Linked DNA regions of Oreochromis niloticus. The protein of the gene in region 1 purifies or fractionates together with the protein of each later gene. This does not show direct contact. Links are inferred from orthologs where the notes say so. Each region holds a gene or a part of one and is shown on either strand. Other genes may lie near its edges. The genes, in order: pan2 and pan3.

What was found.
Region 2: the proteins of pan2 (region 1) and pan3 purify together in Homo sapiens (co-immunoprecipitation; 5 studies listed by BioGRID and IntAct, with this or other methods). This does not show direct contact. The link is inferred for Oreochromis niloticus from reciprocal best matches to the Homo sapiens genes PAN2 and PAN3.

What each region holds. Positions count from the first base shown.
Region 1 is NC_031984.2:9,597,076-9,613,342, reverse strand, and holds the start of pan2 (PAN2-PAN3 deadenylation complex catalytic subunit PAN2), read right to left. Parts: upstream 6,462-16,267; 5' UTR 6,329-6,461; intron 5,635-6,328; 5' UTR 5,617-5,634; coding exon 5,329-5,616; intron 5,246-5,328; coding exon 5,076-5,245; intron 4,833-5,075; coding exon 4,712-4,832; intron 4,591-4,711; coding exon 4,513-4,590; intron 4,427-4,512; coding exon 4,156-4,426; intron 3,269-4,155; coding exon 2,923-3,268; intron 1,910-2,922; coding exon 1,813-1,909; intron 1,648-1,812; coding exon 1,528-1,647; intron 1,398-1,527; coding exon 1,278-1,397; intron 1,187-1,277; coding exon 1,058-1,186; intron 888-1,057; coding exon 688-887; intron 4-687; coding exon 1-3. UniProt on the Homo sapiens protein: Catalytic subunit of the poly(A)-nuclease (PAN) deadenylation complex, one of two cytoplasmic mRNA deadenylases involved in general and miRNA-mediated mRNA turnover.
Region 2 is NC_031974.2:18,997,469-19,013,844, forward strand, and holds the start of pan3 (PAN2-PAN3 deadenylation complex subunit PAN3), read left to right. Parts: upstream 1-9,437; coding exon 9,438-9,777; intron 9,778-10,646; coding exon 10,647-10,768; intron 10,769-10,833; exon of another isoform or gene 10,834-11,157; intron 11,158-11,882; coding exon 11,883-11,955; intron 11,956-12,048; coding exon 12,049-12,119; intron 12,120-12,284; coding exon 12,285-12,429; intron 12,430-12,605; coding exon 12,606-12,823; intron 12,824-13,158; coding exon 13,159-13,263; intron 13,264-13,346; coding exon 13,347-13,404; intron 13,405-14,975; coding exon 14,976-15,137; intron 15,138-16,376. Other genes in the region: receptor-type tyrosine-protein kinase FLT3, read right to left, coding at 1-196, 280-385, 602-701, 789-900, 993-1,115, 1,415-1,536, 1,681-1,793, 1,898-2,054 and 16 more. UniProt on the Homo sapiens protein: Regulatory subunit of the poly(A)-nuclease (PAN) deadenylation complex, one of two cytoplasmic mRNA deadenylases involved in general and miRNA-mediated mRNA turnover.

The DNA.
Region 1 (16,267 bases):
GAACTGCAACACAAACACAGGGCAGTCACATTTGTTATGAAGATGTTATCCTTTATAGATCCCTGTAGGGAAAAAAAACGGTTTCTTCTTTTACAAGCAAACTTAATAAGACTGGAATACGTTCAGTAAGACTCACAGAGCAGTTTTTGCTCTGTGAGTGACTAGCGGTGGGGAAAGAGTTAGGAATCCTGCAGATGATTCACTTTCTCTCAAAAGAGGTACAAGTTCCTGTCAGGGTACCCGTCTGATCTTTTATACAGTCTCATGTAATACTGTTAAATAAATCCAGGTGATATGAATTTTTTTGTAATGTTACTGTCACTTCATTGTTAGATGTATGTAATTATGTCTGTATTGTGATGCCTTTTTGGATGTGGTTGTATTTATTGAACAATCACCACACACAGAAAGAGAATTTTGTCAAAGGATAATGACAACATAACAATCGAACTATTTCTAAGCATTGGTCCCCAGGCACAACACCCATACATGCGTGCTTTGGCAAGGGCACAGTGACTGGAATAGTAAAGTAACCTAGCACATGTTAAGGATGGGAGAAACACCAGCTCCCGAGGAAACCCACAGACCCAGGACTCTTTCTCTAAGCAGCGCTAACCATTGTGCTTACTTTCACCTTTACCTGAAATTATTTTCAGCCTAGAACACCTCCAGATTGATGTATTATACCTGCTGCTAGCACCTCTGTAGGCTTGCGGACCCTCCTGCTCCTGTGTCTCCTGGTGAAGCTGGGTGAGGATGAAACGATTCCAACTTTGGATCAAGCGACCAAGCCTAGCCTTCCCCGTTTGCTCGTCTGAGTCTGAGAGGATCAGGCCCAACGCCGAGGCTTCGGGGATGGTTCGAAACGCTCTGAGGAAGTTACTGGCCTTGAGGAAGATGATAGGAGATGGTACTTTGGGAAAGCTACATAATAAATTATTGTCCAGTTGCAAAGAAATGAGAATTCAATTTAAGGGTTCTGTATTTCCCAAGAGGCTGAATAGTTATCAAGTCAAAAAAAAAAAAATTTCAGAGAGATGAATGGAAAAAAACTTACCTGACATGGATCTCCTCGTGACAAATCTAACATGTGAAAGAGGAAGCCAAGCTCACAGGCCAAACAAAACTCTTTCTGGCACAAATGATTCTGAACAAGACACCGAATCGGCTCCAGGAAATATAATACCTAAGACATCAATAAAAAACCAGAGAGCAACTCTTGATGATGTCTCATATCAAAAAGTAAATTTTTACATTGTAAATCTTCAGTTTCTTACCTGGATCATGCAGTTACAGTAGGCATTGGGAATGTGTGGCTCCAGGCCAGCAAACAAGGTCCTGTTGTAATGTTTGAAGTCAAAGTCCTCCAATCCAAGTTTAGAGTATTTAATTGTGACCTGAAGCAGAACAAAGACATCTTCATCATGTGTTTTGGAAATCTAAATTTAAAGCAACACTTTATAGATTGTGATACCTCAAAGATAAATCTCATCTCTATATGAGAACGAGAATGAAATAAAGTCCAACCTTTCTATATTTTTTGGGCACCATGTAAAGATGTGGCTCTTCATCACGTCCTATTGGTGACTCAGGGACCTGGTTGTAATTATCATAATCAGGCTCCACATCTTTAATTTTATAAGGAACCTGAAACCAAAACAGGGAACAAAAAATAAGTTAAATTATGTTGAAAACCATGTGTTTATCTGGTCTTCAGCCTTAAAATAGAAAAATTGTTAGGATTTTGTAAAGAAGGACAATTAAAATTCTTTTTTCCCAATTTAGATTAGCATAACCAAGTTCTTCACATGCCTGGTTCCTGGGGCGGGTACGTGGATTTGCTGCGTAACCAATGAAGCCAACAGTTTTCATAGTGCGGAGGATTTCTGGGTCCACCGGAGGGGCTCGTCTGTTTATTTAAAAAAAAAAGACATGTTTTAGATTGTAAAGCAGTTAAGGGGAAAAGGGGGAGGGGGCAGCCACAAGCCATGCTTCTCATTCTGAAGTGCCTTTAATAGTGAAACACGACTAAATTCATATATTCATTGAAAAAATAAATAAATTACCAACTGCATCACAAACTTAACAAAATCTGAACACGAAAAAAAAAAATCCAACCAATTTCAAGCCATAGTTTACATGTTTTAATTAGTGTCGTAAAATATGACGCGTCTCTGTACCTTCACATAAAGTGTGTAATATATGACTTCAAATACAGATGTCAGCATTTCCAGAGGTAATGTCATCAACTATGACTGCAGAAAAGAGAAATTAACCACTTCCAGATTGTCAAGTAATATGTTTATGGTATGAACAATTATGTCATACATGAGATCGTACATCTCCATTGATCCAGCTTCCCTTTCCTGGTTTGGTTTTACCATATAAATTCAGAAAAGCTTGAAAATGTTTGATATTTCTCCACACTGTTTAAACACTTCTTTTTTTTTTAAAGAAAAATGATCCTTAAAAAACTGAAGTCAACAATGCTTTACTCTGTCTCTCAATTCTTTCCAACTTCCTTATTCTGTCTGTGGCATCCAGCCCCGAGCCCACAGGTTCCTGCTGAAAATGTAAATTTCCTTAAAACACGTCATAAACCTATAGTTTAATTTTCCACCGAGGCTAAATAAATTCCTAAAACAGCTGGGAACTTAGTCTTGGCAACAGTGTATTTTTTGGAACCACTTTCTGCCTTTGATGCATTTCTTTGTGTTTTGAGAAGTGTGACATTGTAATGTAGAGTTCGTTTGAGATAAACTATAGTGACCCTGATGAACAGACAGAAACAGTTCGGTTTTCTATCCGGGTTACTTTCCAGAGTGTGTGTTTCAGTTCAGTTTTTGGTGACTTTTTTGTTTTTAATTTTAGTTTTTAAGTTAAGTACAACAGTTCTGTATATACTGTTAATAATTGTGTTACCTGGGGCTGGGTGTAGCCAGGGCAGTGGGCCAGTCTGACAGCAGAGGCTCAGTGCTCGTCAGCGGCATGGGGATCAGAGAGAGGGGCAGCAGGTCGTGATTCCAGTCCAGCTGAGGCAGTGTGTCCACGAGGCAGGGCAGGGCAAATTCCGTCTCCCGTGAGTAGTCGTTGAATGAAACTTCTGGAGCATCGGACCAAAGGTGCACACATCCCCCTGAATCCCCAAAGGCTAAGGCTTGTTTGCTTGTTGACACGTCAAAACTCATGAGCAACTGGCCCACTGTGTTGACGTGAAAAATATCTGCCATGTTGGCAAGGCCGGTGGGCTCACAGAATTGGCACTGACCTGGAAAAAGAGAGAATGCAGGCAGTTATAGCGAAGCTAAATGTACTATCCGTCCATTCTCTTCCACTTTTAATTCAGGGTCATGAGGTGGGGGGGCTGGAGCCTATTCCAGCTACCATAGGGCGACAGGCTGTCAGACTGTTGCAGGGCCAACACAGAGAGACAGACAACCAGTCACATTCACAACTATGGTCAACTGAGAATCACCAGTTAACCTAACCCACACCACCATGTTGCCCTGCCTGCCACATGTACCAGTTTCTGAAAGCATAAGAGACTGCAGTCAACTACAGGAATGCCACTAAAGCTCTTGCTGGCCTCACTGTACAAATTTGAGACAGCATTAAAATGAAAATAATTGTGTACATTGCCTGTGTCATGAGCACACTCTTCTATAGCACTAAGACCTGGACAACATACGCCAGGTGGGAAAAGACTCAACCCCTTTTCACGTATGATACCACAGTCGCATTCTAGGCATCTTATCAGTCAAGGGAAGACCTTGCAGCTGACTACCCAAAGTGGAGAGGTACTCTGAAGCAGCACCTCAAATTCAGAGAAGTAACACTACAGAAAGCAGCGCCAGATAAGCAGAGAGTGATTTCCTGTGTAGACAGAAAGCACACAAGCACAACCTCTGCAACTGTTGTTGAACAATTTAGATATTAGGAAACATATGTCAAAGTTATGAAAAAAGAAAAATAATAGATTAAGACAGAGTTTTTACAAAATTGTACATAAAAAAAAAGACAAAAAAATACATTTGACTGTAATGTCAAAATTTTAATCTTCTTAGTATTTCACTTATATTGACCAAACAAACCAAGGAAACTAACAAGCAATCAGACTAAAGAACTCTAAAGCTGACTCAACTCTTTAGTTCATACCTGTCTGTGAGATGATTGCAAGCCGTGACGTGTAGGTAGGAATGAAGCGCAAGAAGAGGGGATCCACATGCACCTGAAGGGGGGTTACAGCACGCATCATGCGGAGGTCATACACCATGAGGAAACGGTCACACGCCAACCCATTCAGGCCTCGGCTGGAGAATCCACATGCAGCCAGAAGGTTTCCGTGAACATCAAAGTCTGACAAGCTGCCAGAAAATGCATCAAACTCATGCTCCATCTTAAAGGTACGCAAGTCACGAAGGGTCACCTGTTTTGAACGGAGGGTAAATGTGAGAGTCATGTAAAACTAATAAATATATTTTTTCAAAACTGATATAATAATGTGAGACTTACTTTGCCAGAAGTGTGCCCACAGAAGAAGAAACGATTGGTCTGACGCATTATTGCCACTCCAGGTACCTCCACTGTGAACTGGAAGGACAAACAAGACAGCAGACAGTCAGACACTTGCTGTGAATTCAGTCCTATGCTGTGGCAGTGGTGCAAGCATAGAGAGTTGCGAATATTGATAAATGCAAGCCTGATGTCTTACTTTTTGAGTTTCTTGGACTGTATTCAAGTCAACTTCAGCCACATAGTTTTGCAATCCACCCATGAGCAGCGTGTTGTTATCAGTCATGAGGAGACTGTGCATATCAGCTCCTTCCTCCATCCTGCAAAGCACCAAAAATGGCCATTAATTCCTTAACCTTAAAAATAATTTCACAGCTCCATGTCATTAAAAATCAATATGAGCATAAAACAGACAGGTGGAAAAACACATCCCTATTTATGATGGGTAGGATTCACAATAATATCGACTGACAGATTTTCTTCTGTATTTTTGCAGCAACCTTCATCAGGACCCTTAATGTTGTCTTTTCTCTAATTTCTTACCAATATTGTGGAACACTTACGGATAATCAAACATGACGAGGCCTCCACGAGTGTAACATCTCAGGTTGCATTTAGAAAGGAACAGCACGCCTGTTTCCAAACTCTGAATATGTCGGATGTCATCGGTGGCATGCACTTGGAAAGAAGAGTAGCGTGCCATTGTTGGTCCAAAGAACGATGTTACATGACCCTGAAAAGAATACAAAAAAGGAATATTACAAAGTGTAATGGCTGACGAAACAATCTGTCCTCCAATATAATTCTGGGTCTCACTCTGTGGTTTCCCATCCAGAGCATTTCCTCCTGCAGGTCAAAATGTGTTGCAGTGACAGGGATGCCAACTTCTGAAACTACACTGTGCAGCTCAGAAAAGATCCCCTCCATCAGGTGTACAGGCTCAGGGACAGTCACAGCCAGTCCCTCTGGGTCCAGCTCCACACCCTGGAGTAGGTTTGGGTTTAGGTGTGGGTCCATGGAGGGCTCCAGGCCTGCATCTAGAGTTCCATGAAGGCTGGCTGAGTATTCACCCATTCCAGGGTCGAGACCGTCAAAGTTCATCATGGATTCAGTTAAATCAACCTAAAGAGAAACGCCAACGCATGTTAATAGTGACACTGGGGTCATGTTAAAGTGTTGGTTTGGAACCAGTTTGTCTTTGTCTTTTTGTGGCTGGGTTTGAAGTGCTCTAATGTTAGGATGTTAGGCTTGGAGAAGGTTCTTTCGAGTTTTTCATTTTCCAAGACGGTAGTCTTGTTTCGTTTCTTTTTGGTTAAAATCTGAGGTTGTTTCTTTGACTTAACACTGACTTAATATCCCATCATATTTTTAAAGCTGGACAAGTAATGAGAGGTGAAACATCTTAAAAAACCTAAGAAGAAGTCCAGTAGTCCTAAACGCAGGCGCTGAAGACTACAATGACCTGGATGACTGAGAAACTGCAAAAACATCCTGCAGCTTTGATGCTAGCTTTGACGTAGCTTACAAACGCGAACTCTAAAGCTAACAGGGAACAAAACCCGAAAGACAATTCTCTGGTATCCATTTCTAAAACGTACATAGGGCAGATAATCTAAAAAAATAAAATACACACGAGAGTAGTGTCTAATTTAGCCGTGTTTGAACGCTGCTTGTGTCCTTTATCTAAATTAGCTAATGTTAGCAGCGTTGTGGCTAACCTGAACTGTTCATGCTAAACTGTGCGACACCTATTATACTAAACAGTGCCACCCATTTCTTAAACTTAAAAGTAGACCGATTTAAGGTGATCACCTACCTAAACCTGAACTGCAAAGGTGTCCATGCTCACACTTCATTCACAACAACAAACACACGGACACTGGAAAACGTTTCCGGGGCACCTCTGGTGCGTTTAGGAACCGCGCTGGAGCGTAGGGTTCCGTTGTTATGCCAGACGCACATTTCATAGTAGGCCTATTCATTCAGTCTTTAACTTTAATTGCTGTAATTCACAAGTTGATGTAGCTATTCATTCAGTAAAACACTAGTAAATTATCTTATTAATCATAGTTCATAGTTTATGTTTTTCATTAAAAAAAGACAAGCACATGAGATTTATAGGTCATTTTGGAGTTGTTTTGGAACATCTCAGTTATCTTGACAGCTAAGTTGACAGCGCTAATAATATATTAATGTAATACGATCATCAATTATTCTCTTTGTATGGCTAGGTCTCTAACCTAGCGCCGCATGATACGTGAAGGCACCGTGAACTCCCTTGTGTGTTTGTGAGATCCTGAGTTCGACTCAAAATGGTAAATGGTAAATGGCCTGTATTTGTATAGCGCTTTACTAGTCCCTAAGTACCCCAAAGTGCTTTACACATTCAGTCATCCACCCATTCACACACAGATGATGGCAAGCTACATTGTAGCGACAGCCGCCCTGGGGCGCACTGACTCAGGTCGGGTTCCTTTTATGTAGAGTTGTTTTTTTGTTTTTTTTTATTGTACAAACTAACAATTACTGCACAAATCTTACAAGTCAAAAGGATCCTTTTATGTAGAGTTTGCGTGGTCTCCCCGTGCTTGCGTGTTTTCTTTGAGGGTACTCCGGCTTCCTCCCACAGTCATAAGACATCCAGTTAGCGGGGTTAGACTAATTGATTGATTCTAAATTTCCCATAGCTGTGAATATTGGGTTAGCCCTCTAAAGGACTGGCGACCGCCTCACTATGGTAACTGGGATACGCTCCAGTCAGATTAAGGGATGCCAGAGTTCAAAGGGAAATTTTAAAATGACGCAGTATTAATTTCATCATCAGAAAGGTGACAATTAAAACTTTTTTTCTCTATACTCAAATTTCCATGCCATCATAGGTGTGATGACAATTCAGGCTCATTTTATATCATGTCATGAACAAACATGAACAAACAAAGCCAGTCAAAGCCAGTAGCTGTATTGCATAAGGCATTTCTGGAAACATGAACATATTGAAGTCAATGAAGGTGTTAACATCGTGTTTTGGTTGTTTTTCGTTGGGCTTTGCCAGTGATTACTCGTCCTTTCACAGATAGTTTTAATTATCGTTTGCTATGTCAAATCAAATTTGTAGTGGTTCAACCAATATTAAAAACAGCTAATAATAATTCAAAATATGGTATTTCTTCATCTACAGCTAGGATAAATGTGTAAATTATATTCAGTAAAATATATGTAACCTTATTTTAAACTAATCTTTACACTGAAGAAAATCGTGTTATAAACTTTGATTTTTATGCTAGAAACAGCCTATGTTTAATAATAATTCTTTAGCACTTCACTGATGGCCAGCCATTCAGCGCACTTCGGGAAATAATCAAAATTGGTGACTTTTCATCAGTCCACTCTTATCTGTGTCCATCGACATAAAAATAATGATGTCAAAAATTCCATATGATGAGGTTGGAGGCGGTGGATTTAGACTCATACACATATTTTCACACATGGCTTGTATCAATTCAACTACGCAATGAATTAAAAAATATGTCGCTTGCTTATATTTAGGAATTAAAAACTATACTACCTTGGGCTTAGAGAAAAATTGTGGTTTGAATTAAAATTCAACAAATTCCCAAGTTTTAAATCTTTGTTTTCCTGGTTATCATGGTGACGCTACCCCGCTTTCTTAGTCACAAAGCCGTGTTCACTGATAGTGAAGACATAGGGAAAAAAGTGATAATTCGTGTCCACGCAAAGGCAATCATTTATTTTTAAAAATAAATCCTGTCTCTTTGTAAGGTAAATGAGGTGTTTACTCAACTACTTGTGCCTAAAAAGTTCTTATTTCTTATGCTTATTATGTGTGCCTATGCCAAGAGGCACACATATTACTATTTTCTTATACTGCTTCTCAGGGACCAAGCCATAATGCATAGAGGACACAGGTGTTTAAGTCAAAAATGGGGTTTTATAGATCCAAAAATATGAAAAATAACTGACAAAGCCAAAAACTTAAACAGGCAAACCAATAAAAGAGCTCAATAAACTAAACTCAAAATAACCACTAATAAAATCTCAAACAAACATAAGAAAAACTGGCCTCCTGAAATAATAGAGGGAACTTACTGGCTTAGCTAAATCATATAAAAGACAAGGGGAAACCAAAGTGGCTGCCATATAACCAATTAACACAAAACAATTATACAAACTCCAAACACCCCCGAGGCAATGATGCATGTGGTTTAGTCCAATGAGGCTGTCAGCAGTACTTCAGATCCCCCAGCCCTTTGCCACACCTTTTGCCAACCGGGAAGGAGAAACAGAACCCCCAGGTAACTCAGACAACGAAAGATGGATTAATATACCATAAAACAGAACTTTGACCTTGGAGTATTGATATGTGTGCACTCCATATAAACACTGGAAGGTGTAATGGAAAAAAATACATTTAATAAAGAAACAATATATTGGACAATAAGTAAAATATATTTAAAGTAGTGACTGCAGAGTAAACTAAAGTGAAGCAACTAGTGGTTAGGTGTGGAGGTTGCCATCACAGAAAGTGAAGGGTGAAGTTGATCAGAAATCAACGTGGAGTGTTAAAAGAAATGATATATTTAAATAAATATGTATTAGTATCAAATTAAAGCGAAGATGTTAAAATGAATTGCGCAGAAATAATAAAATGTGGCAGTTAATAGAAACTGGTATTCCACGCTGACTATGATGGAACCATGATGGCTCTTCTTTTTTACAGAAAGGTATCCGTGGTGTTTCACCTGCATGTGTCGATAAACTGTGGAAGTACGAGTTTATGATCCATCACTTCCAAACTCTGTGAAATGCAAGAACTCCCTCCAATTTTCTTCTTTTTTAAAAAATATCACATTAAACTAAATATATTTGAATCTTGGATTGCTGCATTGGTAAAACACCTGCACCTACCGGATGTGTTCCAATATTTTCTAATAAATAAATAATTATTGGCATACAAATTATTTCTAAACGAAATATTTAGCGTGTGGATAATTAAAGTAATTGTTCGCTGCTGATGAAAATAACAAAGCAGAAAGATAAAGAGGACTGCACCATTTGATAACAGCACAAACCGACCATAAACGACCTGAGCAGGAGCTTTTTCTGGATTTTTATTCCTGGACAAAGTGTGATAAGAATTATGTGCATAATATGGCTTTCTCACATGCCTTAAGTGAGGAGCTGTAACGTTTATGCTTTTATTGGGCATGTCTTTGCCGTATTTTTGAGTGGTTCTCAAACCTTTTCTGGCATGTCCTCTCCCTCCCCCTACAGTTAAAAGTGAGATTAAGTAATAATAATAATAATAATAACGGCCGCCTTGATTACACCAACACACTCTTGTTTATTTTCCCTATATTATAAGTTTAATCAGCTTGGTTTCAGTTCATATTCTTCCCCTGGTCGTGTCACAGTGAGTGCCTAGCATCGCGTGGTTTAACTGCGCAGCCACAAGTTGGAAGTGATTAATCCCAGCAACAACTAGGACACAGAGAAGTGGGACTGTACGTGATCCAGGGGTTTACATAGCAGCATATGTTGACGTTGTTCAGGGGGAAAAATCCCATAGCAGTGGGAACATCAAAGCAACAGAGTGTGTGAAAGGGATGGTTGACCCGCAATTTTCGGATCCTCTGTCGTGTTGATCTTTCTTGATTGGACAAAAACTCTGTTTATTATATCAGCTGAGGATGAGCTATTTGATGGAGGTAGCTTTATGCATTTTTCTCCTAATCTGAAATAGTCTCTTACCAAAGCTTTTTAATTGACAAATAAACAGCCAGTAAATCAATAACAGGATCAAATCATTAGTGTTTGTGCGCCCCTGCGTTTTCGCAATAATATTGAACAGAAATGGGAAAGATAAAGGAAGTGTATATCTTATGTCTTCCCTGAACTTTTTCTTTCTCAGAAAAAAGCAGACGATTTGGTTTTTCTCTGGTAGTGAAGAGGGGCAGATCGTGGACACAGACGGGAAGTTTGCCCAATAATGTATAGAGAACTCGCCCTGTTATCGCCCTGAGATACAAAGGTTACTCTCACTTCCTCGCCAGATGTGAAACTTTGATTAGAAAGACTTTAGTTGATGTCTTTTTCCTTGTAATCTTTCACACATAATAAGTGAAAAATGTGGTCATTGTGAATGATTTCATATTACACGATTAAAGCGACCCATAAAGGGGAAGACATGAACATTGTAAGACTGTGAATAACATTTTTGCTAGCCTGGATTTTTTCTTTTGTCTTTCTTTCATTGTATTGTATTGTATGTATGCGTAATACGGCGACATCTTGGGCTCTTTAGCGTTATCGTTTAAAGCCCACAGCACTACCTACCCGAATTTTTTTGCTAACCGTGTCCACAGTGTACCCATCTTCTGATAGCTGATGGCAGCAGCCTTATCTGAATGACAGTGAGTCCACTGTACTCAAATGTCCTCCACAGTCACCAGATCTCAGTCGAGATTCGGGATCTGGTGGAGAATCACATCGTGGTTAAGCAGCCGCAAAATCTGCAACAACTACTTGATGCTATCATGTCGATATGGACCACAATCTCTGATAAATGTCACCTTCATCTTGATGTTTATATGACATGAAGAATTAAGACTGTGCTGAAGGCACAAAAAGGGGGCTAGACCAGGTCTTGTGCCAAAGAGTCACAGTCTGCAAATAAAAATAAAAATGGGAAATGACTTGTTGTTGTCCTATAACCTGTTAAACAAATGCCAAACACATCTCTCATGAATGATATCAAGCCATTTTGAGTCAAAAAGAACATTCCTATCACCAGCCAGTTAGTTTGACATATTTTTTCATGTATCTGGTAAAAAGTGTAATTGATGTTAAAATACTTCATTCAAGAGAGATCCTGCCAAGAGGGTGGCAATATGAAATTCATATAAAGATATTTTATGTGCCCAAAAAGGCTTAGTTGATTATAAACCTACAAAGTAGGTATTGTACAACAACGCAGTCACAAGTAGCTAAACTTGCAAAACAGGTAATTTCTTTATTTTATATATAACATATATATTTAACATATATACATGGCATTTATTAACACGAGCAAAGATATTAGAAACAACAAAATCGCAAATCACTTGCACAAGGCTGGTACGAGCGAGGTGTCCCCAATTAAGTGACCGGTGAATGCAGTTTTCAGCATGACTATGCCCAGATGTGAAACTGTTTAAGTCAGTTGGCCTTTTTCGCTTGTAGCCTTATCACAAACAGTAAAGCGTGAAACTGTGGTGGCGCTGACTAATTTCATATCATGTGTGATTAGAGCAACTCAATAATTAAAAAAAGGGAAAGACGTGGATTTTGCAAGCTTATGAATATCATTGTTATGATCGGAGTTTTGCTTTCTTCCAATGAATTCTAAATTACCTAATGCGTTTCCTGTCTTCCTGTTGCGTAGTAGTGTAGTCTGGTCCACACCTGAGAGGGAAGCCCTTGGGAAACCCTGTATTGAGTCACACCAGTTAAAAGCATCCCTCGCTCTCTCATTCTCAAATCACACGCAGACTGGGCGCGTTCTAACTAACGCGGGACAATATTTAAAGAACCAGCACCTCTCTCACAGACAGAATCGCACACCAGGAGGCAACTGACAAAGCACCATGACGCTCTCGTTTACTTTTGTTGTTTTGTCCTTTGTGTTTTTTTCGATCACATCTTCTGCTCCAGCCGGACATCAAGACTTTTGCGTTGATGTAAAGGCCAGTTCCCTGGAACTTAATAAAATTGCTAGAAATGTATCTCTGGAGGTAAGTTGTTTTTTTCTTCTTCAAACAATTTCTTAATTTCTCCTTTTAAAACATTAGTAGAGGAGGAAAAAACTTTTTACTGCGCATTTGGAATATGTTTTGCTCACTCAAATGCACGCTTAGACGATGGCAAAGCAATAAACACATTTAAAAAGTCTAGTTTTAAAGGTTTTCTCACAGGAGATGCATTACATTCTACCACGACGCGCTCATACCGACTGTCTCCAAATGTTCTGCAGGCACGAAAGGGATTAGTTACGAGAGAAGAGATACCATTTAGCACCTTACTTGTGTGGATGGAGGCGAAAGACATGTGTGATCCTGAGACCCTCAAACAGCAATCTCTGGTAATATCACTTATAAGAATTATAAACTGTGACATGAATTGAATTGAACTAAAATTGACATAAATCTGTGATTTCAAAATACGATATGTTATCTGATTGGGTGTGATTTCTACTCATTTTGTCTATTCTTCGTCCTTAGCCATGCTTTGGGAAGATGATCAAAGTCCTTGACGTTTACAGAAGTCTGCTGAGGAGGATTTCTGAATTTGAAAACTGCTCAGAGTTTGCCAGCCAGGTGATGCCAGTGATAAATAAGCTGCACAAAGACGTGACGAAATGCGCTGATTCGAAGGGAGACTGGGGCGCAGAGAAGGTAAGTTTGGTCAACGCAAACTCAATTATTTGTTTTAGACAACAGCACTGACAAGGCTTACTGATCGTTCTGATTCTGCAGGATCTCCCCGTCGGTGAAGAAGTAGCAATTCGGGAGTGGGAGAAGCCGTATCTGTGTCACTACACTCTGGACAGACTCTTCTCCTTCTCAATCTTCACCGCTCGCGTCCTTTCAGTTGGAGATCCGGTTCACCACACAAACGGAACGACTCAGAAATGCATGTAGAACCTCACAGTATTTTAAACACTCAATGTATTGAGCGTCTTTTAAATTGATCACAGTGATCGCAGTTTGTAGTGCAGTTTTCTGTAGTTAATAACTTATCGATTTTTAATGCTATTTCCGAAAGATTTGATATCTATTTATTAAAGTTTTATTTATTGTATTTATTATTTTTATCCCTAATAACCAATGAATACTTTTTGTATTCACCTCTGTATTTTTCATTCAAATTGAATACAATGTTTATTATAATAATAAAAACTGCTACGCATGAGAACGTGTTTTGAGCCTTAAATTTAATATTTTTTATTATTTATCCTATGGCGATTGTTCTTTTTGCCCAAACGATCACAATAAATGCTTACTCATTCAGGAAATTTATGAAGTTACCTGTACAGAGGTATCCCTCTTTTCACTGAATAATTTTGAATAATAATGTTATAGTGCTAAAAGGAAGCTGTGCTTTCCTAAAACATTCCTGCTGCACTACTTCCTGCATATTTCCTCCCAGTCAACGCCTCTGCTCAGACCTGTTTGTTTGCAGTCAGATGATGCAACGCATGTGCAGCAGTAATTCAAAGAAAGGGGAAAAGAGAGAGAGAAGGTGACACGTTTTAAGGGGAAGAGGAAGTAGTAATGAGGCCTGTGAGCGTAAAGGCACTAGGCTGCTCAACAAGGAAGTTTCTCCTAGTGTGAGTGATTTGATATCCTGAAATTATTTCGCCTCCCTCGTGTCCCACCCACCTGCACTCTTTGTGAGTTAGAAACTCCATACTTTACCGTTTCCATCCACTGCTGGAGAGCAGAACTTATTTTCCTGGCTCTCAGAGCACATGAGGAAATTATTTACCTATTGAGAACATTTGCAAAAACTGAAAAATGCTCTACAACTAATCAGGTCAAATATAATACACAGAAAAATGACAGATGTGAACCACACACACAGCATTTAAGGTGCAACACTAATCAGAGCAATGGATGCTTTTGATGTCTGTGGGTAGGATCAGTGTTACATTTTTTTTTTTTTTTTTTTTTTTTTTTTTAAATCACCTGCATGGTTTGTTATTGTATGAGACGTGACGTGCCTGTAGACTGTTTACTCTACAGAGGATTTGTGATGCAATCAGGAAGTTCAAAAAATGTTACGATTAGTCACTCGAGAGATTTTTCTAATTACGGTTATGAGCATTTAAAAAATCGTGGGCGGTGTATTGAAGGGATTAAGTCATACTTTCTTCCTTTTTAAAAAAATAAATCGAACCAATTAGATTGCAAAATGAAAAGATCACCAAATACGACACAATACACTCATTGGCAATCAGATGTAATCATATGCTTTTAAGATCAGGATTCAAGCTTTTCCTTTTGATGAAGCTGACAGGACTGGGGAACTTCCAGTGATGCACTGAGCATTTCTTTCCTTTTCCCCTAATTCATCATGCATATCATGAACTCCTGTCTTCTCTCTCCCCAAGTCCATTGCTGTATGATAAAAATCTAAAATGTAAATGTTAAAAATTTCAGTCTGGATTGAAGAGCTGCTAATGTTTTGGTTGTTTTTTGTTTGCTTTTGCACAGCAGTATCAAAAGATCAACTCATTTAAGTGTGTTATTGTGCAGAAACTGAAGATTTTCAGTCTCCCTGATTTATGTTGACTGAGCAGTTATTCATTCCCAACTTTGGAAAGGACAGTTCAAATCAGTTAATAGAATTACTGCTAAAAAAAAAAAAAATCATAACTAGATGGTTGTGTAAAAATGTGTGACCATACTAGAACATACTGTACAGTCATCCAGTGGTCAGTAACCATAACATCATATTTATTTATTTAAACTCAAACAGCAGTTGTCAAAACAGCAACTCATGATCCACTTTTTCTTTCTTTTTGTCCATACTATGAGTGTGCATACTATGTTGCAGAAACTAAAGCTGTTCAGTGTCCCTGATTCTGAACCACTCACTGTTTATGATTATGTCAATTGATCATCAGAGGATTCTTAGATTAGCCTTTATTGTCTCCCTTGGAAGAAATTCACCTTGGACAAATGGGGGAAACATGTCATCTAGGAGATGAGACACATACAAATCCTCATTACCACATGCAACCACCCACTCCCATTCAATAATCTGATTGATAATGGCACTAGAGAAAATGTGGTTTGGTACCCTGTACCTTTTTCCTGAGGGCATCAGTTCATACTCATTATAAAAGATGTGGTTTTTGTCCATAGTGACATTCAGACCTATTCAATCATTCCCACCTTTGAAAACAGCAGCTTGCGTTAAATAATAATAAAATTGGCTTAAATATAATTACCTTTGCCAAGGAGGTTATGTTTTCTGGTAGCGTCTGCGTGAGCATCGGTTATTCCTTCCTTCTTTTCTAAACTAGTTTGAAAAGTTTTCAGTGAATTCTGATAAAACTTTGTAGGGCTGTAGAGTGGGGTCTTATTAACAATCCATTCAAATTTGGCTTACATTCACTGAGAATTTCAAGGCCGGCTTAATTTATTTAATTTATTTGTCAAAGATTTGAAAACTAAATACATTCTAAGACTTTTTTGCCAATATATACAAATATATTTAAAAAACAAACAAAATTTGTGATCAAAAACTTTATTCACCTGATATTTACTAAAAATGTAAGCAAATTTTAATAAACAATAAAATGAATGCTACACATGTACTATTTCCACAAAAATAACAAATAAATATACTCAAAATTATGTCAGGTATATTAAAATGGGTTTCAACAGAGCAAATAACAAAAGCTTGTACTGTATGCTTGTTTTTACTGCACTACAAACTCCTTAAAGTACATGTAAAAAGAACAAAGAAAAGAAAATGAACATGTCCATAATACAATAATTCTTTACTACTATAAAAGTAAATACTGCCCAGAAAATGACCTGTGTTGGCGGATGTTTGCGCTCTCAGAGTGCTTCTTGTTTGTTTGTGTGAAATGTGTGACGCGAAAAGCTTAAATTCTTCAGAACATAGTGTACGGTCACCTCGTGGTCAATAACAATGACATCACTTCTCTTTTTCTTTCTTTATTTAT
Region 2 (16,376 bases), on another chromosome or scaffold:
GAAGCTCCTTCTCAGCTGCCACGGTGTCTCCGTCACATGTTTCTGCTGTCTTTTCTTCAGTGGCACAGGTTTGACAGTAGTCATTGGTGGCCTGGGTCTTCTTTTCTTCGCTTGCTTTGGTCAAGGCAGACATGTCCACGATGGTCGACGCATTCTGGTAGTCGCTGGAAGTCCGACTGATTGTGTTTTGGTAGAGCTGAAAAAGTGAATGTTGGTAGTGATTACGCTGCTACATTCCCATATGTGTTTGAGTATAATTTAACACAAATATAGGCCTACATTCTCCTCTCGGTCTGTGAGCAGGTCACACAGGAAGGACACCAACTTGGAGAAAGAGGGGCGGTTAGCGGGATCCAGGGCCCAACACTTACACATCATCCCATACCTGCAGAAGAACATACACAACACTACTGACTTAATAAAAGCAAAAGTTATATTTAAAAGTCCAGAATAGCTAAAGTTTCAAAACAGAACAGAAACAGAGTATTATTTTTGATTTTTACTGATGTATTAATGTGATTCTGTCTTTATTTGAATCCTAAAATAATAGTTTTCTTAAAACAACCCATTACATTTATGAAACATTTAAGATGAGACTTACACAGTTTCATTGGCATAGTATGGACACTCCATCTTAAATCCTCTCTCAATCATTGAATAGAACATATGATCCACCTTTATGCCCGGGTATGGAGTGACACCTGAGTCAAACATCATTGAGACATTAGAACTGATTGTTTATCTTTTGAATGTGCTGCTCACAATGAGTTAATGTTTGTGAAAGTTACCGAGTGAGAAGATCTCCCAGAGCAGAATGCCATAAGCCCAGACATCGCTCTTCATGGTGTACATTCCCTGGAAGATGCTCTCAGGAGCCATCCACTTTACTGGCAAACGCACCTGTGAGACAGCAGAGCTCAGTCACCCACCCGCAGTGATTAACATAAGAGTCAGTGAATAATATAAAATGACCATAGTATCATCCAACATACGTTTCCTCTCACGACATAGTTGGAGTCGTTGTCGATGTCCCGGGCGAGTCCAAAGTCACCGATTTTCACCTGCCTGCCGTTTGTCACTAAGACATTTCGAGCTGCCAGGTCCCGATGGATACACTGCAGACAAAAGGAGCAGTCATCAGCATATGTTTTGTGTATTTATTTTGATATGCAATTTTATTTTAGTTATATTTAAATAATTTCCCTTGAACTGTGCGGTTTATAAAATTCCAAATCTCCCAAATATAGATATATTATGACAAAATGCAAAGAACTAAGAAACCAACACAGGTGTTTCAGGTTAAGTCTGCCTATTTAGGTCTAAATTGATCATCAACACAGAGGAACTAAAAAGACTAAATGTGTTTCTGCAGAGAGGCTGGGTGACAGAGGTTTGTCTGGTGTTTGTCGCCTACATTCTTGGAGGAGAGGAACTCCATGCCTCTTGCCACTTGGAAGGCAAAGCTCAGCAGGTCATCAAAGGTCAGGGCTTCCAGGTCTTCCGTCTGCTCGTCTGGGGTTTCAAAGCTCTCTGGATCTGCAGATAAATTGTGTTCAGCCACCATTTCTGAATCTCACAGTAGTGTGTCAACCTCTGTTCACACATACACCTTTTTTTAAACGTCTTTTTTTCACCATGATAACGTGCATGCTCTGCTGGCCTTATTATCACGTTTCTCACCTTCACAGCTGTCCATGTTGTCAGAGTTGATGGTAAGGAGTGCGATGTCCTCCTGCCCCCCTGTGGTAGCGGTGTACATAGGCACGTAATTATCCACTGGTGCTTCCAGCGCACTGAGAAAAGACAAATGTAACACAACTGTAATGCCACACCAACTTTGCAGAGAATAATTTAACAAATAAACAAAAGGCAGCACTGATATAGAAACCTGTCTCACCTGGGGCATTTCCTGAGCTGCAGGTTGTGGTAGAGGCTTCTGAAACGGTCTTTGTCAAAAGCGTCAGTGACAGACTTGTGGTAACGTTCACAGTTGTTTTTTAAGTAATTCAGCAGGTCTCCATGACAGCAGTACTGGAAAATCAGGTATACTGGTCCTAGATGAGGGGAAATTAGGTTATTTTAAAACTTCTGTTTGACATTAATATACAAGATCATGACTTGCGCACAAGATTTATGCCAAATAATCAGAAACCAGTGCAGTAGGTCTCATCTGAAAGATGAGATTGTGCATGTGTTAAACGCACCAGAGTCTGTGCATGCACCGAGCAGGTTGACAATGTTGGCATGGTGTCCAATGTGAGTTAGCATCTTGAGCTCTGACATCAAAGCCTCCTTCTCCATAGTCTGGTGTTTTTCTGCAGAGTCAAGTACAAGATTAGCACTTTTAGGTATAACCCCTTTTAACGCTCTGCATTTCACTCATGAAACGAACACCAACCTTTCAGCATCTTGACGGCCACCTTCTGTGAGACTCCTGGCTTTTTGATGCCATAAGCTGTAGCCTGGACCACCATGCCAAAAGCTCCAGAGCCCAGTTCTTTACCTGAGGAGGACAGAAAAACGCTCAAAATTCAGTTTTGTTCATTATATTGACGAAGTTTATCGACACGTTGTAATGAAATATGAGGGAAAAAAGTGTTCACATTAAGTTAGTTTTTAGATTGAGCTTATTCCATTAAAAACTAAAGACAAATGATTGTTCTGCAATATTAAACCAAAGAGTTGCGGCCTCTTAAAGGTGTCCTGTTGGGGCCCCTTGACATGTTTCACGTATCTATCTGGTTAGAAGTTCCGGCAAAGAGACATTTCCTCTTTAAACGTGGTGTGTTGCTGAGTTCAGACAACACTTTGAGGCCCAGAAAGGTAAAACTCTTCATAAAAAAATGAAAAGAGGAAAGTCTGAATATTTCACAGATAACACATTTATGTAGAAGAACTTTTTTTCCTCTTTTTTCTGCTTCAGTCTGTAATTTTGCAAGCCCTCAAGTACGTCTTGTTACCATTTGAAGGGCCTCTCGTTCTTTTAATGGTTTCAGAGGTCTGCTAGCAGCTAAATCAATAATTTTACATATATTTGAATGTTCTTTTAAACCTCTTCTTACTGACTGAGTGCAAAACTTTACATTGCATTTATGTGTTGATGCATATATTTAACCCTGTAACCTAGTTTACTTCATACCCAGTTCAAGGTTCTCCCTGGGAAACTCCCATTTCCTGTCATACTCAAAGTCCTTGAAGTTGATGTAGATGTAATCATTATCACTGGGTCCAGTCATCTGGATCATCTGAAGCTGAGGCTGATATTGGGGTTTCTGCTGGAAACATAAAAGGTTTGGTGTCATGTCTTTGTGTGTGTTTGCATTTAAATGTATGCTGATACAACTTATTTATATTTACCTTCTTTTTGATAAAACACATGAGCGCCATAATGGCGACTATCAAAGCCAGAAGCAGAACCACACATACTTTCAGCAGGAAGGAGTTATCCTCAGGTGGCTTACCTAAAAAATAAAACAAAACAAAACAGTGTGAGCATGAAAACTTTTAGATTTTTTTTCATCAAATATTTTCAGTAAATATATTCATTAAAGATTTGTTATTACCAATAGAGGACTGAGGTGGGATAATCATGAAATGGGTTTTGCACCAGGTTCCAACTGAGTTTGTCAGACAAAACCTGAATTGGTCTCCTTTCACCACGTCTTTGCTCACTGAGCTCTTGATCGGCTTGTTGCAGGAAAAATTAGAGTCTGTTTCAGAGACTGTTTTAGAGGCATTTGGGAACTCATCCCAGGACGAGTCTGTTTCACAGCTGCAGTAAAACAAAGTAAAAGGAGTTTAAATAATCAGAGCTAAAAATGCTCTCTGAGCTGAACGACTGTGCAGGTAATCATACCTGTCATTGGACTTAGAGCAAACCATCCAGGTATAGTTTGCTGGCACCAGACTGGCAGTCTCAAGGTTGATGGTACCATCATCCTTATTAAACAAGAAGTTGAACTTTGGTTCATCTGGAACAAAATCAGATGATGTCAAACATAATTACATTTAAATACTAATAAAAATGTAACAAAGGCTACATTAACCCACCTACAACACACACTGATATGGTCTTTGTTTCCTTTTGTCCTCCAGCCTCCAGGTGTAACTTATAATCTCCTGATATGAGTGGATCACAAAGCTTCACAGTCCTGAGAAACAGTTCATTATAGACCTCATATCACATGATTACACTGGACAGCAGCAGTTCTCTGTTGCTGCTCATGAAAAACGTGAATGAATGGATATTTTTACACTTCTACATGGTGACAGTTTGCTTCATTGAAGTACCTGTGCTGTGTTACCCATGTCTCCCTGACACATTTAGTCCTTTTTTTGTCAGGAGTCTCCCAGGAACAGTGCTGGAGAACAGGATGGTAGGAAACAGTGGCCTGCAAGCAGGTGCTGGATGCCTCCTGAGCTGATATGATCTTGGTCTCATCCAGCTGTGCAGAGAGGGAAACTTCATCTGAGGAAACACAAGAATAAACCAGTCAGATTTATTCAGTGGGAACAGTTTCAAATAATAATGACATGAAATGAAGTCTACTAACCCGAGACATGAACATCAACAGACTTTGAGTTTTTATTTGTACTCGTGCAGGTGTATGTGCCGCTGTGCTCCTCTCTCACTGATCTGATGGACAGGTAGGCCATCCGAACACCATAATGTGAGTCATTTTTAATGCACATCTGGAAGAAAAAAACCATAATAATGATCATTTGCAGGATGATTATCAGTGAAGTACTTTGTGTCTCAGACTGAGTAATATTAAAGAGGTCAGTCAGTTTTCAGACAAACATAACAAGAAAGTTTAAGGAAACTCTCCCTGATTACAGGACATTACTGTACCTCCTCCTCTGGTTTACATGACAATGTCCTGGCATCGAGCAGTCTTCCTCCTTTCTCCCACACAGGTGGTGTCAGACTGTATCCGTTTACTCTGCAGCGAAGCAGCAGAGACTGACCTTTGCTCAGGGTGACAGTAGATACCTCATCTTTGTTCATTACACTGCTCTGTAAGTCTGAAACACACATCAGGGCCTCAAGTCAAAAATATATTTGGCAGGCAGAATTTGTCATTTACTTCTCTGAGATTAGTTAGTGAATCTCTGAGTAAACATTGTTTTTTCAAGTATTTGAACCAAATTTTACTCAAATTAACTCCTGTAATAATTTATGGATATATTCTTTGTGGATGTATTAAATTTGTTATTAGTTAATTTAAATCCAGTTACCGTAGTCATACAGTTGGGAGCACTCTTGTCCTTCAGTATTGTTTGCACAGCACATCATTCCTATATCATAATATTGAGCGCTTGATATTTTGCTCTCTGTCTTTCTGTCACTTTCCTTTAAACTCTGTTTTACATCCTTGTTACTGTTCAAACAGAGAAAAAAATTGTTAGTGGTGTAAAATTATGTAAAATTATATTCGCTGTGTCTTTGACATACATTATTATCAAAGCTTGTCTAATACCATCTATCCTAACCACCTACCAAAATAAAGCATCTCTCTAAATGATTCAGTCTAAAATCAGACATTAAGAAGTGCTGCTATTCTAAAGTTTGCATAAAAACGTAAAGGACAACGTCTTACCCAGACCATTGGATTGTGGGTTTGGGGAAACCCTCAGAGACACACTTAAAAAGCGGGGAAGTATCTGACACGTCCACACCATCGAGCATCAGCTGTGGTTTTGTTGGACGTTTTGTTGGAGGTTTTGTTGGACGTTCTAAACAACAAAGAAAACAATTAAATTCATTTTATTATCACTAATTTATGATCAAACAGATTGTTTGAGTATTGTCGAAGAAAGAAGGTGAGAAGCTGTTACTCACTCATTACATAAAGAATCACAGTCGTGGAAAACATGGTGGCATTTTTGGATTCACAGGTCAGAGTGTACGCCCCTGAATCTGTCTCAGAAAGCGGTGATGTAACCATGGACTGACTCCCATTTCTGCTGAGATTAAAGGAAACGTCTCAGTTTAATTGCATAAAAAGATAAAAGCACCCAAACAGAAACACAGACGGTCACTTACGCTGTCATTACTCGGTCTTCTCCTCTGATCCAGTGGCAGACAGGAGATCCAGAGAGGCCCTCCAGGGAGATGATGAGTTTCTTACCCACAGCCAACTCTTTGTTGATGGAACCAGATTGATTCTGATAATCAGCTGGTAGCAAACATGCTGCCTGAAGAACAAGACCCACCATTTAATCCTCCTTTATTAAGCAGCAATAAAATAATCACTGATGGCAAGATGTTAAGAAAATGGTTTACAAAAACACATAAAAAGGTTGATTTAGCAAATAATTGTCTGAAGTTGTAATAAAAGCTGAGAGATTGTTAATCACCAAACCAAGCATAAACATTGCTTCAATTTTACATATTAAGACAACATAAAAACACATAAAATATTAGAGTATATAATTATTTAAGAAAAATAAAGCAAAAATGGAGAAGCACTGTATGAAAATCAAAGTAACTATTTATTACTTCCACAGGATTTAAGAGGGTAAGTAGCGGTCACGTGCTGATCATCAGTAATCATGAGCACCTCTATAAAACAAATGTTTCAGTGGTTTTCTGGTCTGGAGCATTCAGGCGTGAAAGAGTAACAACATCAACAATCATCTCAGTGAATGAATTGTTGCTCCCAATCAATCTGGGAAGGGTTACTCGGCCATTTGAAATCCATCATTCTACAGTGAGAAAGACTATTTACAAGTGGAAAACAGTCAACACAGTTGCCAATCTTGCCAGGAGTGACGTCCCAGCAAAGTCACCCCAAATTCAGACAGTGCAAACCTCAGAATCAGCAAGAAGCTTGTGAGCTACACGTCAGTCTCTATTGGCTTCAGTTAACATTGTAATTATTAAAGTTCATGACAGTACAATTAGAAAAAGACTGAACAAACACAGCTTGTTTGGAAGGGTTGCCAGAAGAAACCCTTGTCTCTCTAAAAATAACATGGCAGCCCAGCTTAGCTTTGCAAAGTTGAACAAATCTGAACATCTGAACAAACCCCAAGACTTCTGGAACAATGTCCACTGGGCAGTTGAGCCCAAAGTGGAGACGATTAGCCGTCATGCACAGCACCACATATGATGAAAAAACTAAACACATCATATCAGCACCAACACCTCATACCAACTGTGAAGCATGGTGGTGCAGGGGTGATAACTTGGGCTATAAGAATGACTGATGACCTCACACAGAAAACTATTATTAAAGCTATTGCTGCTAAATCTTGGGGGTCTACTTATATTTTTAAACACAGCTTCTGCATTTTGACTCAGTATTTGTTAAACAAATAATGTCACTGCTAAGTGTCAGATGATTATTTTAATTTGTCCTGTCATGTAAAACCATAGAAACGAAAGTGGGTATACTTTATTTTTCACACAACTACATGTGTGAAAATATTAAACTATGAACTGGTTAAAAAAATGTCCATTACTTTTATAATGGAATAAAATTTGGACGCAGAGTTTTTACTGAAATGAGACAAAGTGACAGATTTCGAGAAATGAAACAGGAGTACCATTTCCCCCTGTGATGTTTTAGAGCATTTTGTTGCTCTGCATTTTTGTGTTTCTGCATACTCATGAAACAATGACACTGTCATTAGTGAAAATAAGATAAAGCTACACAAAGTTTGAAGAATATTTTCTTTTGTTTATACAAAAAAGTGCTTTAGTGGAATTACTTCATATTGGAGTTCTAATGGTTTGTGCATATATTATTTACATTTATTTTCTGTCAGTTCAGCAGTTGTACAGCATCTACTAAATTGTGTTGTTTTTCCTCATTATTTTCCAGTTAAAGCAGCTCTTACTTCATGATTGGGCACAGATGGTTGGGTCTTCCCATCATCAGACAGTGCTCCAACAGCACACAGCAGCAGAACAGCTGGAGATACAGAAAATGAAAACTTCAGTTCAAACAAATGCACATTTCCCGAATTATTAGAAATTTACTGGAAAATAACAAATTAAACAGGAATTGATTATTTAATTTTAAAGAAAATACAGCTTAAGTAAATAAGCAAATTTGAAAAAAAGCGCAATGCAACACAGTCATGCGGACAAATGAACTGATGTGTTTAGTGCTTCCTGTGAATTTATTAATGGCACAGTAGTAATTTTTTTTTATTATATTAAAACAGAAATGTTAAACACTTATAAACTATAAAAATCACACAAAGTGTAATTTGTGTTTTTTATAGGGACACACACCTATTATTTCGGATATTTATTTTCTTTCTGAGAGCATCATATGTCACCTTATATGAACTACAAATGTTAGCCTTAACACTTGTCAGTCGCTGCTGAGCCTTGAAGTTCCTCAAACTGAAAATGTAAATCTTGATGTCAACCCAATATTTTATATCTGAATCTTTATTTCTAACATGCTAATTTTAAATTTTTGAACCCTAACTGGTAAATGGCCAAACGTGAAGCTAAAAGTTGCACTACTTCAGTGGCAATAATTCAGGCCACAAAACAGGGATTTGAAAGAGTCTTACTCACCCGCAATCATATTTTGGTGCCTCGGCATTGATGCGTATTTTCTGGCTGGTTTACATGCTCACTCTGTGGCTAGACTGGCGTACAAGACGTCCGTATGTGCCTTATAAATAGAGGAAGTATAAGACCATTGGATGACGCTGAGAGCCTAAAATGTACACGCGAGATACTGTCAATCCGCCAGTATAACGTTGTTGGAGATTTAAAAAATGGAAGTACAATAATTTTTTTCTGGGTGTTTTCATTAAGAAAAAACTGAAGAGGCTGGTTTCTACGTTATCAACATGACAGAGAGGGAGAAGAGAGATATTGTATGCATGCTGGGAAATATTTGTACCATAATCCAGTAAGACCAAAAATAAGAAGTAATTTCTTTTCTCTTTCTCTTTTTTAAAACGTATTTTAAAATGTTCTATCATGTTTGCATCGTTTGCTTAATTCTGAATGATAGCCGCGCTAAAGAAAAAAAAAGAAAATTTCCCCCTATATCTTTGTCAACATCGCAGATACCTCAAATTTAGTTTGCATCCAGCAGGTACAATTTGCTTTACCCACAATGCACAGCTATGCTAGCGGCTCTGTAGCACAGCACAGAGGCTGTGAGCGGAAAAAACAACAACAACAGGCTACTTTGCGAAGGCAGCTGCATGGATAGCGACAACAACAAAAGCAACAACGACGACCAGGATTTCACATGCAGTGATATTTCCTCAAACCAAAATGCTCCTTAGCCTTAGAATGTGAGTACTCTGGGATCTTAAGTGTTTTCCATCACCCGAAGTGACATTAACACGCTCCTTTAAGTGAAAACTGGTTGAAAGCTAGCGGGCTAGCACGCTAGCTTCCTGCATCTCTCTATGTTTGAGCGTCTTCCGGCAGCAGTGGCGGCAGCAGCAGTGCCATGAACAGTGGACTCTCACCTTCAGCTGCTCCGCTCGGGGGTGCCGGGATACCTAATGTCAAGGTGAAGTTTTGTCGATACTACGCAAAAGACAAAACCTGCTTTTATGGAGATGAGTGTCAGTTCTTGCATGAGGATCCGTCCTTGGCGAGTTTGCCGCTGCACGGCGGCGGCGGCAGCCCTGTCCCGTTGTCCATGGCCGGGGGTGGTGGGACGCAAGCGGGGTATTCCCTTGGCGGCTCCGCGGCGGGCTGCCCGGGCGGTGGGGGCACCGGCGTGCCCAAGAAGAGTGAAACATTGGGGCCTGCGAATACGTCTCTGGAGGGGCAGCTGTTAACCAGTGAGTACAAATTACTGTAAACCAAGGCCTCGTGCATGGTGACTGACTGTGACTTTACTTTCCGGCCTCACGGAGCTTTGTTAAAATTTAGCCCGAGGATTCACTGAGGCCTCTCAGCGCCAAAACAACGTGGTTTACTTTTACTTGCCAGACATTAGCAAAACAGCCCAACGTGCAACTAGCATATAACGCGCTCTTTAACTGTCGTCTCACAAGTTTTGACTACACGTTGTGTTACCAGTATCTTAAAAACACAAAACATGAGCCATGCTGCTGTAGCCGAGGAGGCCTGTTGTGTTGTGTGACAGCTGTGAGTGGGCAGAAATCCGCGTCCCACTAACGTTAGCTCCTGCAGCTAATAGCCCGCTAGCGTTAGCTAAACTATGTTTAAACTGACCACTTTAACTTATTCTACCTGTTTGGGTTTCTCCTCCAAAAAGGAGAAATGAGTGTTTTTATCAGCACTTTGCATTTTCTTCTTCACTTAACTTAAAGTGAAGTTTAGTGTTGTTCTCCAAGTTGAGTCTTTTCTAACACTAGCCTACCTACGCTAACGGTTTAGTAGGCATTGTTTTTGTGTGTTGTGTTTTTGTGTTTAAGTAGCATGCACTTTGCAGTCCTGCATTAAAAGCTGTCCTGGAAGTATTACTAAAAAAGTTTGCTGGTGGTAGCTAACACCTTGGGTCAAGCTTCAGCTGCGGCTCACTGTTTACATGCTTTCAAACTGTGATTGGCTGAAGACGCACTCAGTTGCGCACACATTAGCATGAGTGCATTACCTTTTGGACTGTGTAAGCAATTATCTCTAACTGATGTCGGTCTGGCTTCAGTCCTAATCTGCAAAACTCTGCTTTTGTTGTCATCTACAGTCCCAGGGATGGAAGGTGCAACCCTGAGCGATGCCAATCTTACCAACTCTTACTTCAGCAGCAGCTTTATTGGGGTCAATGGATTTGGAAGTCCAGCAGAGCCTAAATACTCAATGATGCAGGTACAAGAGGGCCGCTGTAGGTCTGTCACAGTAAATATACAGTTAAACAAACTGAAAATGAATTTATGCGTGTTTTGTTTTGCTATGTTAGGAATGCAATGCGTGTGAAATTCTGAGTTGATGGTATACCGGTCACATTTCTGTATTGAGTTTGTTGTTATTGCGCTTTTTTTTTTCACAGGGAAGCATAAAAACAGCTTCACAATAAACCAAAGTCTTCAAGTTCTCCATCACTCCAACTTTGAACATTTAGCTACTGTGAAATCGATGTGACACAATAGGTTAACGTCAGCCACTGCCATCATTAAGTTTCATCTTTTGCTGTTGGGAGTCATCGAGGCATTTACTGGCGGGTATATCGCTACATCCCCAGTCAGTGGTTTCCACATGTACGTGACTGGCAACATGGTTATGTTAGGGTTGAACCTTATTTCATTTCTTTTTTTTGTGCCGTATGCAATAACTTTACTAGTAGACAATGCCCTCAGGCATGTTTTTGAAAGTTCAGATGCTGCTAACGAGCTAAACTCGACTCTGCAGGTGGGCTGGGTTGCTTTTTGGCTAGTGTTTAATATCATTGAGCTGCCTCTCCAGTGAGTCTCTCATCTTGCTTTTAGACCAGCTCTGAATCCTTTGTCTTGGACTGTGGCTAGTGATGGTAGTCCTTGTTCTGCTCTCTGGGAGATCTGTTGTGAGCTTGAGGACCACTCAAACCAGAACCTGGAGCAGGTGAAGAGCTGGTTCGTGTGCTCCTATTTCAAGCTGACAGAATGCTGCAGAGCAGAACAAAGCGTGACGTGACCAGCCCAAAGCAGTGAAGTTGGACTATATCCAAAACCCTGGCCTCATGAAAGAGGCAGCTGAATTTGTAGATTAGTTATTAATTTGACACCAACTACTTTGGAACTAAAACATTTATAGGTTTAATTCAGCAACTGGCTACCAGCAGCTCCAACCTACCACCACAAAAAAGTTTTAGGTCTTTGAAAGCATAATTGGAGACTAAGGCCATGCAGTTAAATTATTTTATGGTATTTCGTTGTATTTTGATGAACATAATTGGACAGCGCGGTGCTTTTTGTAACACATATCCTCTGGATGCTCCTCTCCTTAGCGAATGACTACCAGCAGCAGCTCTCCCAGTCTTCTCAACGATGGTGCCAAGAACTTCAGCCACAGCACTCATGGTAAGCTGTATTCAGATATCTTTGAGGCACTAGCTGATACTCATCCACTGTTCCACAGTTTGGAAGGGGCCCTTAACACTTTGTGCTTTGCAGATCCAGTGAACTCCCCGACATCCTCACTGTTCAGTGATTTTGGTGCTCTTAGCATTTCCCAAAGGAGAAAGGTGAGCGTACAAACATCGGGTTATAGCATTAGAGTTCTTTAAAGGTTCAGGATTGCATTTTTATATAAGGAAGTACTTGAAGCCAGACAAAGATGAGTTAATTTGCCTCCAACAAGACTGATAGACAACTTTTAATTTTTGCATTGTTTTCATTTGTGTTGGCAGGCTCCTAACCCGGCAGCGAGTGAATTCATCCCTAAGGGAGCTCCACGTATGGCCAATATGGCTCAGTCCACTGTCCAGGCCTTCCCCTCACCTCTCTTTGCACATCCTGGTCTCAGCGGCTCCACAGCTGCTGCCCTGGCTCCAGGTGTGGGTTTTTTTTTGAGAACTACTCTCTACCTGAACACTGTCTGTTGGGCTCAGTTTTGTTTTTCATCTTTAGAAATTGTAATACTTGAGTTCGTGAGGGATTTCCCTCACATATTACTGTGAAATTAAATCTTTTCCTAAGAAACATTTCTCACATTCTGTCTCCTTTTTCAGGAATGTCGTTGTCTGCGGGATCTTCTCCTCTTCACTCACCTAAAATTACACCACACACCTCACCTGCTCCCCGTCGACGCAGTCACACCCCAAACCCTGCCAACTACATGGTGCCCACCACTGCGTCTGACCAGGGTGCACACATTATCCAGAAAGAGACTGTAGGGGGGACGACCTACTTTTACACAGACAACACCCCGGCACCAATGGCTGGGATGGTACGAATACACTCTGCAGATGCATTCAGTCTCTTTAAACACAAAAAAATGAATATCACTTAAATCAGTCTGCGTTTTTAAGTTTTGATGTAAATGTGAGTCTTATTTAATAGGCCGCATTGAGATGTAAATTCATGGCTGTTGACTCTGATATTACTGTGGCCTAATAGGGAATGTAATTTGGGTTTTTTTTGTTTTTTTAATAACATCACCAGAGTTTCATTCTCTCGCATTCATTTACATAGCTGCCTGAAAACAATATTTGTATGATCAGACTGGTTTCCACTTCTCAATAAATAGGAAGCTGTGTTTTCTTTTTTCTCATTTTATTGCAGGTGTTTCCTACCTACCATATCTATCCACCCACGGCGCCACATGTGGCTTACATGCAGCCGAAAGCCAATGCCCCGTCCTTCTTCATGGCTGATGAGCTTCGACAGGTATTGTCCTTGTTAACCAAACATTCCCCTTCTCTTCTCTGAAGCTTTATAACTGATGTCTTGTCCACTTGTTTCTTCTTCAGGAGTTGATAAACAGACATCTAATAACCATGGCCCAAATTGACCACTCAGAAAATCCAGGTATAGCATCTACATTGTTGACATGTTAAGGGATGCTTGTGACAACTGACCTTAAACATGCGCTTATAAAACTAAATGGCTGTTTCAGTGTTCTATTTTCTATATTTACATGTAAACAAACCAGCACTGGTGCTTTTTGCAAGTGTGATGTAGAGTTATTCTGTCCTGTTGGTGTGAAATATGTTGGTTGTGGGCTCTGTGTGTATGTGTTTAGTGTGTGTCAGTTGCTAAGATTGCAACTATCACAAACGCATCACGTCAGCAGTGCTGTGGAGCAACAGACAGCTTTTCAGTGTCTCCCTTAAGGCACGTGTTGCAAAGTCTGACTCAGATTCCGTTTTAAAATAAATCAGGCTAGTAGGCAGTCAGTTTTTTGTAAATAGCTGATCCACTAGAGATGATGCCACACACATGTTGCTTTTGATCACAAATCCTTGAGCTTTTATAATAGAGTGAATGTCCATTTCAGGCTCAGTCTTGTTTTACTTTTGTTTTCTGTCACGCTCCCACTTCACCTTCTTCAGGGACTTTTTAAAAAATTCTGCTGGGTCTGGTTTTCACAATTATTCGAGATAGCTTTTCCCCAGACGGTAAACTATTGGTCACTAACAGGGAAAACAAGATTTCTGATTGTTTTGCAAACAAGCTTTTTGTACCTCAGGAATATAAACTTTCCAGTAAATTAAACCAAAAATCTTGTTTGTTGCCACTGGGGTTGGGCGATTGGACGAATATATCGACTATCAACTATAGGTTGAGCCCATCGGCGATCGTTTTTACGAGGGCGATTTATTTATTTATTTGCCCATGAGTAAGTTTCTAATAAGGATGGAGCTAATAGAAGCAGCCAACAGAAAAAACAATAATAGCGCTGTTTTAACAGCACCCTCTTTCATCTGCGAGCAAATGCACTCTCCTCAGAGTGTGCCCAAATGCTTGTTGATGGAGCTGCAGAAGCTGGTGATAGCCTAGCATACTCAGCCGGATGGTGGACACGTACATGCTCATGCAAGTTAGTCGTGTTTGACTACTTTGCTCGCACACCACTTTGGTTACATGCTTAGGTTTACCTCTTTCATCCCAAATTGGCAACTTCATATTTTTTTTTTTTAGTGCTGTCAGCATTAATGCGCGATCATCACGACTAACGGGATTAACAGTTAACACATCTGGAGCGCAGACTGAGTCAAAATTCCTGAAATGGCTCTGTCAGCGCATTTCGGGCAGTTTGTCCAAAGTTGGTTCATTCTGCGCTACAGACGGTTGAGCACGTTAAAAATTTTAATCTCGTTAATCAGCCCTAATTTTGGGGGGAAATTAGTTTGTCCATCTTTGGACTTCTATGTTATAAATGCACAAATTAGTCCGTGCTTGGTTATATTCCTCCGCCTATCAAAATGTCTATGCATGCGTGAATATATTGCCCATCGTCGATTATTGGACTAAGGATTGTCGGTTGGAAAATCTTTACATATCGCCCAACCCTAGTTGCCACTTACATTTTAAATCTTTTACTTTGTGTGCAGTATGTGGTGTTTTTTCCCCTCTCTAAAAATGCCTGTTTTTGGTAGATGTACCATCTGAGGTGGACAGCTATCACAGCCTGTTTCCCCTCGAGCCCCTTCCCCCACCAAACCGCATGCAGAAGACCAGCAACTTCAGCTACATCACCTCGTGCTACAAGGCAGTGAATAGCAAAGATGACCTACCGTACTGCCTGAGGAGGATACATGGTAAGAAATGCTGTTCCAGCATTTCTAATATTGTAATGTTGTATTGTAATGCCCCTCCCTGAGCCTGGTTCTGCCAGAGGGTTCTTCCTGTTAAAAGGGAGTTTTTCCTTCCCACTGTCGCCAAAGTGCTTGCTCATAGGGGGTCATATGATTGTTGTTTTTTTTTCTCTGTATGTATTATTGTAGGGTCTACCTTACAATATAAAGAGCCTTGAGGCGACTGTTTTTGTGATTTGGCGCTATATAAATAAAATGGAATGAATTGAATTAAATGCTTTCATGGGTGGACTGCAGCTCTAAACTTTCAATACATTACTTGGGGGGGAGCTGTGACTCAGTCTGACAGAACAGATTTTTATCTCGTAAGCGCCGTAATGCAGTGTCCACTTAATGTCCAGTTGAGAGAGTGTGTGTGTGTGTGTGTGTGTGTGTGTGTGTGAGAGAGAGAGAGAGAGGGAGCTGATTTGACAAAACTAAAAAATCCCGGTGATAATGGCTTTCATGACAGTGGTTATCAGCTGTCTCTGTTAAGACGACTTTCTTTGTCAGGCTCTGTTTCGTTTACATAAAAGGGGAGTTTCACATATCATCTGACACTTCTTCACAAAATAATCCCTATGAGTGCCGCCTATTCCAATAAGAAGCATGTAAGATGAATATGATGATGATAGAGACCATAGCGGTAGAAATGTTATAGAAAATAATGTTAATATTTGGATTTAACTCACAGAGCAATAAGAATTCTTTAATTTGAGCGAATTATTTTAATGCTGAGGACTTTCTGCAACTTTAAACTCCATAGATTTAAACATTAAAGGTTACCTTCCCACAGCCTAATAAAAGGAGTTGTGGAAGTTGCTTTAGTTTTATAGCAGATAAAACTGAATATTAATTTTATTGATTTGCATTAAGTGTCCCAGGTGTGTGTGTGTGTGTGTGTGTGTGTGTGTGTGTGTGTGTGTGTGTGTGTGTGTGTGTGTGTGTGTGTGTGTGTGTTCTGGGTTTTCTGAGCTGCAATCCTAACAATATAAAAAAGATTAGACTCAAATATAAAAGCATATAAATATTTTCACCATTGGAGTACCAGAACATTACAGTTATAATGTGATGCTGTAACTTTACAGGTGGGCTTTATGTGTGATGTTAGCAAGGTACAGCTTAACAAGCTACTCATGTAAAACATATTTTCCCAGGAAGAATCGAAATTGTGCCTAAAACTTGTGAAATCCAGCCGAATTT